Arabidopsis thaliana: one gene and its partner. The protein of the gene in region 1 interacts with the protein of each later gene in a pairwise test. Each region holds a gene or a part of one and is shown on either strand. Other genes may lie near its edges.

Evidence for each region. Proteins that work in one complex are often made in the same cells at the same time.
Region 2: the proteins of KLCR2 (region 1) and AT3G13160 interact in a two-hybrid assay, tested with the Arabidopsis thaliana proteins (one large-scale study listed by BioGRID).

Annotation. Positions count from the first base shown.
Region 1 is NC_003074.8:10,379,712-10,385,274, forward strand, and holds KLCR2 (Tetratricopeptide repeat (TPR)-like superfamily protein), read right to left. Parts: upstream 3,539-5,563; 5' UTR 3,129-3,538; intron 2,948-3,128; exon of another isoform or gene 2,914-2,947; 5' UTR 2,883-2,913; coding exon 1,102-2,882; coding exon of another isoform or gene 1,098-1,101; exon of another isoform or gene 1,013-1,097; coding exon 802-1,012; 3' UTR 519-801; downstream 1-518. Other genes in the region: AT3G27950 (GDSL-like Lipase/Acylhydrolase superfamily protein), read left to right, coding at 1-60.
Region 2 is NC_003074.8:4,229,315-4,233,303, reverse strand, and holds AT3G13160 (Tetratricopeptide repeat (TPR)-like superfamily protein), read left to right. Parts: upstream 1-1,895; 5' UTR 1,896-2,125; coding exon 2,126-3,310; 3' UTR 3,311-3,475; downstream 3,476-3,989. Other genes in the region: ATSPO11-1 (Spo11/DNA topoisomerase VI, subunit A protein), read left to right, coding at 1-44, 147-163, 252-321, 397-433, 580-627, 713-771, 866-897, 993-1,098 and 3 more; AT3G13150 (Tetratricopeptide repeat (TPR)-like superfamily protein), read left to right, coding at 3,674-3,989.

The DNA.
Region 1 (5,563 bases):
GGTTCGATATCGGATCCACCTCTCCCTACCCAAAAAGCATGTAAACTCACGAAAAAATAAGTTGCCATGATATAAACTAATAAATGTCTAGCATATTTCTGGTGCTTTCAAGTAACTAGCCAAAATTTCTATTCACATCTCTCTTTTTGTTTTTGAATCAATGTAAAATTTTCTTCAAAAAGTCATTGGTTACAATATATGCAGCTTTAAGCAGAATGTTTCTATTCACATCTTATCATATTAGTTATTATATAAAAGACTATATCAAATAATCAGTAACTTGTTTGGTAAGAAATTTTAAACCGCTTAGTTCAGATTATCTTTTGCTTAGTGACAACTTTTCTTTTGTTGCTTTGCTAAGTGACAACTTCTTGATTCGGTGGGTCGTCTCTTTATGTTCTCATGCTACATATGTATGTGTATATTCGGTTATTGTTTTTTGTTGACATTCATGAACATTACATGACAAGACCAGACAAGATGTTTTAGTAACCAAACACTTGTTGTTTACTCAAGATCAGTGCTCAAAGTTAGAGAAACTGCCATCAAGGAGATTTTTAAACTCCAAAATTTCAATGTAAATCACATTACAAAACGACCAAATCAATTGCGTTTTACTCTTTACATTTTATTTATAAAGAAAACAAATGCAAGATTTTTTTTTTTTTCCTTCACTTTTTATAAAACTAGAAAACATAAAGCCTCTTCATTTTTTTCCTTCTCCCTCGACCGTGTAAGTACCGTATTCGAACTTGTATTTTGTATATATATACATTTTAGACCGGACAATAATCCGGTTAATCAATAAACCGGTCTCTGTCCATTTGCAATTTCAGGGTTGTTGTCCAAAAGGGTAAGAAGTGCTCTGTTTCTTTTACTCCTTCCTCTTCCAGCTTCTTTCAACAACGCAGCAAGCCTCTGCTTCTCGTCCTCAACCTCGGGATTTGCCGTCCCGAGCTTCTCTTCTCTTGTCCCAACAACATACTCCAATATCTCTATAGCATCATCTAACCTGTAAAGCAAGTAACACATTGCTTGTACCGCAGGGAAATACCAAAAAACATAACCTAGCAAGAAAATTGTTTTAAGTTCCAAATTTACCTTCCCATTGCGTCGTACGTTCCAGCAAGGTTACTGTAAACCGCTAATGTATCGGGATGGTACGGTCCACACTCTTTCTCAAGAATAGTTTTCGCTTCTTCAAACAAATCTGCAGCTTCATTGATCGCGTAACGCTGAACGCAAGCTAGTCCCATCTGATTCAAAGCAATCCCGAAAAGAGCGGTTTTTTTCTCTCCGCTATTGCGGAACTTTGATATCGCGCTCTTGAATATGTCGTAGGACTCGGAGTAATTTCCCATCATATAAGTAACCACACCCATTTGAGCTTCAATACCTGCAATCGTGTTCTGTTGACCTGGAGCGTTTGCATATATCTTCAACGCCCGTCTCAACAACTTAAGAGCTTGATCAAGTTCATTCATTGACTGATATATCGCAGAAATCTCTATAAAACCAGTCGCAACCTCTTCCATAGGAGTTCCTGGAGTCGGTTTTAGGTAAATCTTGAGAGCGTTTTCGCAGTACGATTTGGAATCGCGTGTTTTCCCAATCTTGTTGTACAAGTCAGCAAGCCTAACGTAAACCAAAGCAACAGAGGAATGAGTCTCACCTTTTCCTTGCTTAAACACAGCTAAAGCCTTCTGGTATGCGAATATCGCTTCATCAAACCTAGCTAGCGACATGTAAGCATCACCAATACTGCAATCTACAGCAGCAACATCTTCTCTATGGTTCTGAGATGACATTGCCATGCTCGCTAAAACATAATGCTCAAGCGCAACTTCATAATCACCTTTCGCATCGCAGATAAGTCCCATCAGTTTTCTATCCGCAGCTTCTTCAATAGAAGCTGTAGCGGCAGCACCGTTTTCTTTGTGAATGTCCAATGCCATTTGACAAAGCCTTGAGGCTTCTTCAAACTGCATTGCTTGAACATGAGCTTCCGCTAAGTACCTACAAGTTTCGCCAACTCGTGCATCCGATTCTCCAAGAACTTGTCTTTGAATCTCCAAACCCGCGGTGTATAGCATAATCGAATTTTCAACTTGACCCATCAAACCATACATGTCACCAAGCTGCATACACCCTGCAAATTTCGCCAACGCGTGATCCTCACCATCTTCAATCATCGGTATCTCGATAGAACGTTCAAGAACAGGCACAGCGTCATTGTATCTCCCTAACCCTGCATATATCGCTGCCAAGATATGCAAAGACATCACCAAATTCAACCCAAGTTGTTTCTCTCCTTCCCCACATTTCTCAAACACTTTCACCGCTCTCAACGCTAAATCAAGAGCCTTGTTTAAATTCTCACCTGAAGAAACCAACTCTCTGGCTTGCTTCAACAACACCACACCAAGCTCAGGACTCTCCTCATCAACAGAAACCTTCCCCAAATCCGGTGATTTCCTCGAAGAGATCCTCGAACCCGGCATCTTCGGATTATTAGGACTCGTTTTCGCAACCTTCTTACCATTCGAAAGAGGTTTCTTCTGACTCAAGCTACCTTCTCCATTACTTTCTTCCTTCTTCTCCAAGATAATCTCTTTCTTGCTCTCTCCTTCTTCTCCTACATCTCCAACCAAATGCCTCAACTCCAAATCAATCCTAGATTCAGCTCCATACGAAATAAAACTCGCCCTGGACGGAGACTGATCATCAGAACTCTCCATTTCACAAACGTTATGATACAACTGCTCAATAGAAGCATTCATAGCTCCATCAATTGCAAGATCTATAGAACTCAGAGGACTCCTCGGTGAAGCTTGAAGGGCAGAATCGTCTTTTACCCTCTCATTGCTCTCTCCTACGTCCATGGCCTCCAAAACTCACAACTCAATTATAAATCTGAATCAATGGAGACCAAGATTTTAGATTCAAATCCGTTAAAACAACAAGATAACATCAAAAGACTCGAAATTGAGAACCATAAGTCCCTAACTAGAATTATCTAAAGCTGACATAGATTCAGTTACTAACAGAGAACAAAACCCAGAATCAAATTCAACGAAATTGAAAAGAAAAACGAAAACTTTGAAGATTTTAAGAGATAAAAATCGAACCTTTATGTGTCTTTGACTCTGAAGAAATCTGCAAGAAGGCAAAAAAAGAACAGATTCTGTTTTTTGGTAACTTAGTGTGGTTGTGTAAGAGATGAAAATGAAGGATTTGGTGTCTTGTACTTTTCACTTTTAGGTGTTTGTTTTATATCTTCACTTTCATAATCTCATAGCTAATGTTATGAGAAAGATGAAGCAACAACATTTATGCACAAACCCTTTCACTGTCCTTATATGTTTTGAAACAAAAGCAGACTTTTTTTTTTGGGTCTACATTGCTTACTTTAATTTACCTTTTAAATTGAATTATTGATTGATTATATTAAGATAATGAAGATGATAATTGACTCTTTTTGATGTGATTATATGATTATTTTTTCAAGAAAGAGATGCATAACCAGAAATTTTTTTGAAGATCATTAGGTTTGAAGATGATTGACTCTTGAAGCAATAAAAAGAAGATGACTTCTTCCCTACTTGCACTCTCTCTTTAAATAATTTATCTTTTTTCCTCAATTTTATAAATAAATTTATCTCTTTGAAAAATAATAATGAATGTCTCATCCATTTTTTTTATCATCTAAAATTTGATTAAAAATTTGCTGTGAAACCAAAGAAAATTACAAATTTTCAAAGAAGGAAAAGTAAAACCGACAGATAAAAAATAATTCCCCAAAAATTACAGCAGAAAAAAACGAGATTCTTTCTGGAAACTAAACACTATGAAATGAATGTTTCATCCATTTCAAGATTACCTTTTTTTTAATTAAAACTTTTAAAAAATATTGTTTCCTTCACATGCAATTTTTTCATGAATTTGTTTTTTTAAAGTTAAAGTTTGAGTTTTGCCCGTTAAGAATTAATTATTTTTCTTATTTATCCTAAAAGAAATATTGTTTCCTTGAAATGCAATTTTTTAGGGATTTAATGAGTTAAATTAGAACAAAAAAAAATTGAGTTTTGCAGGTTAATTAGCCAGCTAATTAAATGCTGGGGAAAGATCACAATTCACAAGTCTACGTCAAACCCTACAAATTCACAGCTGTATAATAAGTACCGTTGAGATTCCGCCACGTGTCATACTTAATCATCAATTATCTCTAATGATCATCCCATGATCTCTAATCTATATACGTAATATTAAAAACGTGAACAGTTAAAAATTTAGCCTTTTGATTGATATAATGATGCAGTGTTTTTTTTTTAGTATAGTCTTTAACTCTTTATGGAAAGAAAAATTGGACCACTGGATTTAAAGGATTGAATCACTAATTTAGTAAGAATTTTTCTTAATGACGAAATGATATGACACGTGGACTACAGCTGCATACCAGTTAGACAGCCTGGTTTTATGGTCCAGATGTGGTCCACCTTTAAGCCCATTACGGCTTTATGGGCCCTTATAGTCATCAGTGTAGGGCCTACCCAAAATGTAATTTTTATAGAACTCTCGTTCCCATATTTCATGAGTCAATTTTATTGTGAAAAAACGATAATGCGCTTAAGGCAATTTTTTCACTAGCCAACCAACAAAATATCGAAATGACTATTATTTTTATTTATTTTTTTTTTCTTGTCACAACGAAATGACTATTTATATATGTTTTTGTTAAGAGCCCATAACATTATATTATTTGGTTGGTCGGTCATATTATATATGCAAATTATGTATGACTTGGTTTCTTACAAGAGACAGAGACAACCCACACGTTTGTTCATAATTCTAAGACCTAACAACGTCTCTTCCTTCGGATTTTTATTTTTGTATATTGCATAAAGACAACTCTGTAACCACAAATACTTTATTATTTCCTATTCACAAAGTTATAAGCAATTCTTTTTTATCGTCAGTTCATAAGCAATTCATTGGATTAATTTATGAACTGAAAACAAATTGTAATCATTGACGACTGTTGGGCGGTGCTGTTTTCTTTAACTCTTTCGCCGCTCGAATCCCATATCAAATCTTATCTGTTCACAAATTATTTGGTTTTCTAAATTCCTACGCGTTTTATATTACCAACACGTTTTTGTTTTCTTCGAAAATTTTAGGTCAGAACGTATATAATTTTGACAAATTTGTCAAATACTATCTCTGACAAAAGTTTGATAAATTTTGACAAATTTGCCACAACATCAGTCATTGAATTGTACAATAACTGTCTAACAAATAAAAATTTTCTACTTAGCGTAAAATACATTCGTTCGTGAATCGTGATGAAACAAGAATACTTGCGAAACAAGCAAAGTAAACCTAATCAAATGCATGATTTAAGCATATACCGCAGGATTCGTTTCAGAATACCAAAATCTGCAACTATTGGAGCATGCATTCGTTGACAAACAAAATTGACTACATACTGGATATACGGCCGAGTGATGGTGAGTTATTGCAATTTTCCAGCTAGGCTTCGAAAATAAGTTGCATCCGAGGATAA
Region 2 (3,989 bases), 6.2 Mb from region 1:
ATATATGCATTCTTTTTCAGTGTAGTCGGTACAACTTGAATGTGGTTAGTACTTTAATACTTTCACCTTCAATTTTCCTTCTGAAGAGTTATTATAAGCTGCGATTGAAGATGTGATTACTTTTTCATTCATGTGATATTTTGCAGGTTTCTGTTGGAAACGGGTGGGTGCTCTTGATAACGAGTGCAATGCTTCTATCTTGAGGCATGTCCTTATTTTAAGATCCACCTCATTATTCTTTTGTGTTGTAGGTTGGTGATGGGTTGGTTAAAATTTAGGGAAGCTGGAAGGAAATTTGATTGTTTAAACAGCTTGAACACTGTAAGAATTTGAACATAAGATTCACTTTTTATATTGGCATCAGGAAGTATAACTCTGCAAGTGATTTCATTTCAGGCATATCCCGTTCCTGTTCTTGTAGAGGAAGTCGAAGGTACATATATTTGCAATCATTTTAAGTGATGCTTTATGCTCTTTAGAGAAGTCAAATCCTTATCTCAGCTGATATCAGGAAGTATAAGATTCACTATCTATGGTGGCATCAGGAACTATAATTGGATGTCATTTTCCTGCTTGCAGATATTGTTAGCTTAGCTGAGTACATACTGGTTGTGGAAAAAGAAACAGGTAAGAAAGACCTCTTATTTATGTAGTAACTAGGAAGATGGTTTTCTTTCTTCATGACTAAATCGCTTTCATCCATGGTTTATAGTATTCCAGCGTTTAGCAAATGACATGTTTTGCAAGACGAACCGCTGCATTGTTATCACAGTAAGAAATCTGCTTCATTCTTACTGATTTCAGTTTTGACTAGTTTTCATTTCCATTTTATGTTTGACATCAAAGTTACGATTGTTTTTGGCAGGGAAGAGGATATCCAGATGTCTCAACAAGAAGGTACATAACTTAATCCCAGGTTCCTGGAATACTATTTTATCAGACATTATCTTCTATTGATTAATATATCAGCGAATAACACAGATTCTTTCCAGGTTCTTGCGACTCCTGATGGAGAAGTTGCATCTACCTGTGCATTGTCTAGTCGACTGTGATCCATATGGCTTTGAGATCCTAGCCACATACCGTTTTGGCTCCATGGTTAGATTCTGTTACAAAATATAGATGACTGAACTCGGAAAATTTCACCGCTTGCATTGTTTTTGTTGATAGTGATAATGTGATATGGCACTGACCCATTTCATTTTGAACCATTTTCCTTATGTCACTTGTTTTCTTTCTGTAAGCAAATGGCCTATGATATTGAATCATTACGAGCACCAGATATGAAATGGTTGGGAGCTTTTCCTTCAGACTCTGAGGTATATAGTGTTCCCAAACAGTGTCTTTTGCCACTGACAGAAGAAGGTAAGAGATCATTAAACACCTTATCGCCTTAAATCTTTAGATTTTCCTATTTTTCACTGCTTCCTTTTTTGAGATTGTAACAACTTCCCCGGACAGATAAGAAAAGAACTGAAGCAATGTTGCTTAGATGCTACCTGAAGCGTGAAATGCCACAATGGAGGTATGAAAAACTTCCCTGACTTTTTTATATTTACATTTCAACCAAATGACAAAAACTAGTCTTGATCAAAACGATTTTGGTCGTCTAAGGTTGGAACTTGAAACGATGTTGAAAAGAGGGGTCAAGTTTGAGATCGAAGCACTCTCAGTTCACTCACTGTCCTTTTTGTCAGAGGTATATATTCCTTCTAAGATTCGTCGTGAAGTAAGCTCTCCTTGAGCTTCATACGAGATAACTAGTCTCCAACTCAAGGTAATGCTCATTGTTTTTTTTATGACTCTTTCTAAGCTTTTTAGTGCAAACCAAATGCATTGGTAGAATGGACAAATGAACATAGTTTTAATGGAAAAATCATAAATATACAGATTATAAAAAATAATTCTCAGTTTTTAATTTTTAATAATACAAAGTACATTCACTAATGACTAATGAGTAATAAGTTTGAAATTTTGAATAATACAAAAGTAATTTAGGGTTCATTTGCTTTATATTGTTACCAAACCTAATTTGAAGTATTAAAGCCGTTCCCCTGACTAAAAACCTTTGAACACTCCGATCCAAAAAAAAGAAGAGAAAAACCTTTGCATACAGCTAAAAACGATGTCGTCTCTCTCTCGCTTTCTCCTTCGTGGCAACTTCAGCTTCAGCACCCACACGAATCGCCGCTTCTTCTCCGCCGTTACCGCTGCTGCAGCCACACCCTCGCCACCCAAACCGTCCCTCATCACCCTCGTAAATGACGAACGCGACCCCAAATTCATCACGGAGAAGTTCAAGAAAGCCTGCCAAGCAGAGTGGTTCCGGAAGAATATAGCTGTCTATGAGAGAACCGTTCGCCGTCTCGCCGCAGCCAAGAAGTTTGAGTGGGTCGAGGAGATCCTGGAGGAGCAGAACAAGTATCCAAACATGTCAAAGGAAGGATTCGTGGCGAGGATTATCAATCTCTATGGACGAGTCGGTATGTTTGAGAATGCACAGAAAGTGTTCGACGAAATGCCTGAGAGAAACTGCAAGAGAACAGCGTTGTCTTTCAACGCATTACTGAATGCCTGTGTGAACTCCAAGAAGTTTGATTTGGTTGAAGGTATCTTCAAGGAGTTGCCAGGTAAGCTCTCGATTGAACCAGATGTTGCATCTTACAATACTTTGATCAAGGGATTGTGTGGAAAGGGTTCCTTCACTGAAGCTGTTGCGTTGATTGATGAGATTGAGAACAAGGGTTTGAAACCTGATCATATCACCTTCAATATACTTTTACATGAGTCGTATACAAAAGGGAAGTTTGAGGAAGGAGAACAGATATGGGCTAGAATGGTAGAGAAGAATGTTAAGCGAGACATCCGTAGTTACAATGCTCGGTTGTTAGGACTAGCCATGGAGAATAAATCAGAAGAGATGGTTAGTCTCTTTGACAAACTTAAGGGTAATGAGCTCAAACCTGATGTTTTCACATTCACTGCCATGATTAAAGGATTTGTCAGTGAAGGAAAATTAGATGAAGCCATAACGTGGTACAAGGAAATCGAGAAGAATGGTTGTCGCCCGTTGAAATTTGTCTTTAACTCATTGCTTCCTGCAATATGTAAGGCGGGCGATTTAGAGTCTGCTTATGAGCTCTGCAAGGAAATATTTGCTAAGCGTCTGCTAGTCGATGAGGCTGTCCTGCAGGAGGTAGTTGATGCATTGGTGAAAGGGTCCAAGCAAGACGAAGCTGAAGAGATTGTCGAGCTAGCAAAGACGAATGACTATTTGCAGTGCAAGCTTCGTCTCTTTCCCAAAGAGTAGTTAATTGGCAAGGCTTATTGACTAGTTTTTAATTTAGTCTGTGTTTCCCTCTTTTTAATGTCTTGTTGCAAACTGCGAGTGCGGTGATTTAATAATTGAACTATCTCTATCTGTAGTGTGTTTGTGTTGCTTTCAATTCTCAAAGTTAAAAGAAATTTTCTTATTTCCTTTTCTGGTTAGAGAACGGCATGAATTTAAGATTTAGACACAAAAAACGCTGCGTAGTCCAGGAGTAGAAACGGCACGCTGTTTTATTTTGTTTTTCGCATTCACTGCATAAGACCTAGCCGGAGGAGCACTCTTAAGTCCAAAACCCTAAACCCTCACACTCAACTCTGACATTTTCACCACCTGCACGAAGCTATGAGCAAGGTAGGCTCGTCGCTGTACAGTCGCCTCCATGGAATCTTCAAAGAATCTTCAATCGCCACTGCTAAGTCCGCAAAACCCAGAAGCCAAACCAAATCCACCAAATTCCCTAGTAAATTGAAGGCATCCACCGCCTCTGTAGGAGACGGAGGTCAATCGTCGAATGACGCCAAGGATTCTAAAAATTCGAAATTGACGCAGAAAGTAGAGAAGTTCAAGAGATCCTGCGAGTCTGAGAGTTTCCGGCAAGTCCATGGACTCTACAGTGCGTTTATCCGCCGTCTCAGGGAAGCAAAGAAGTTCTCAACGA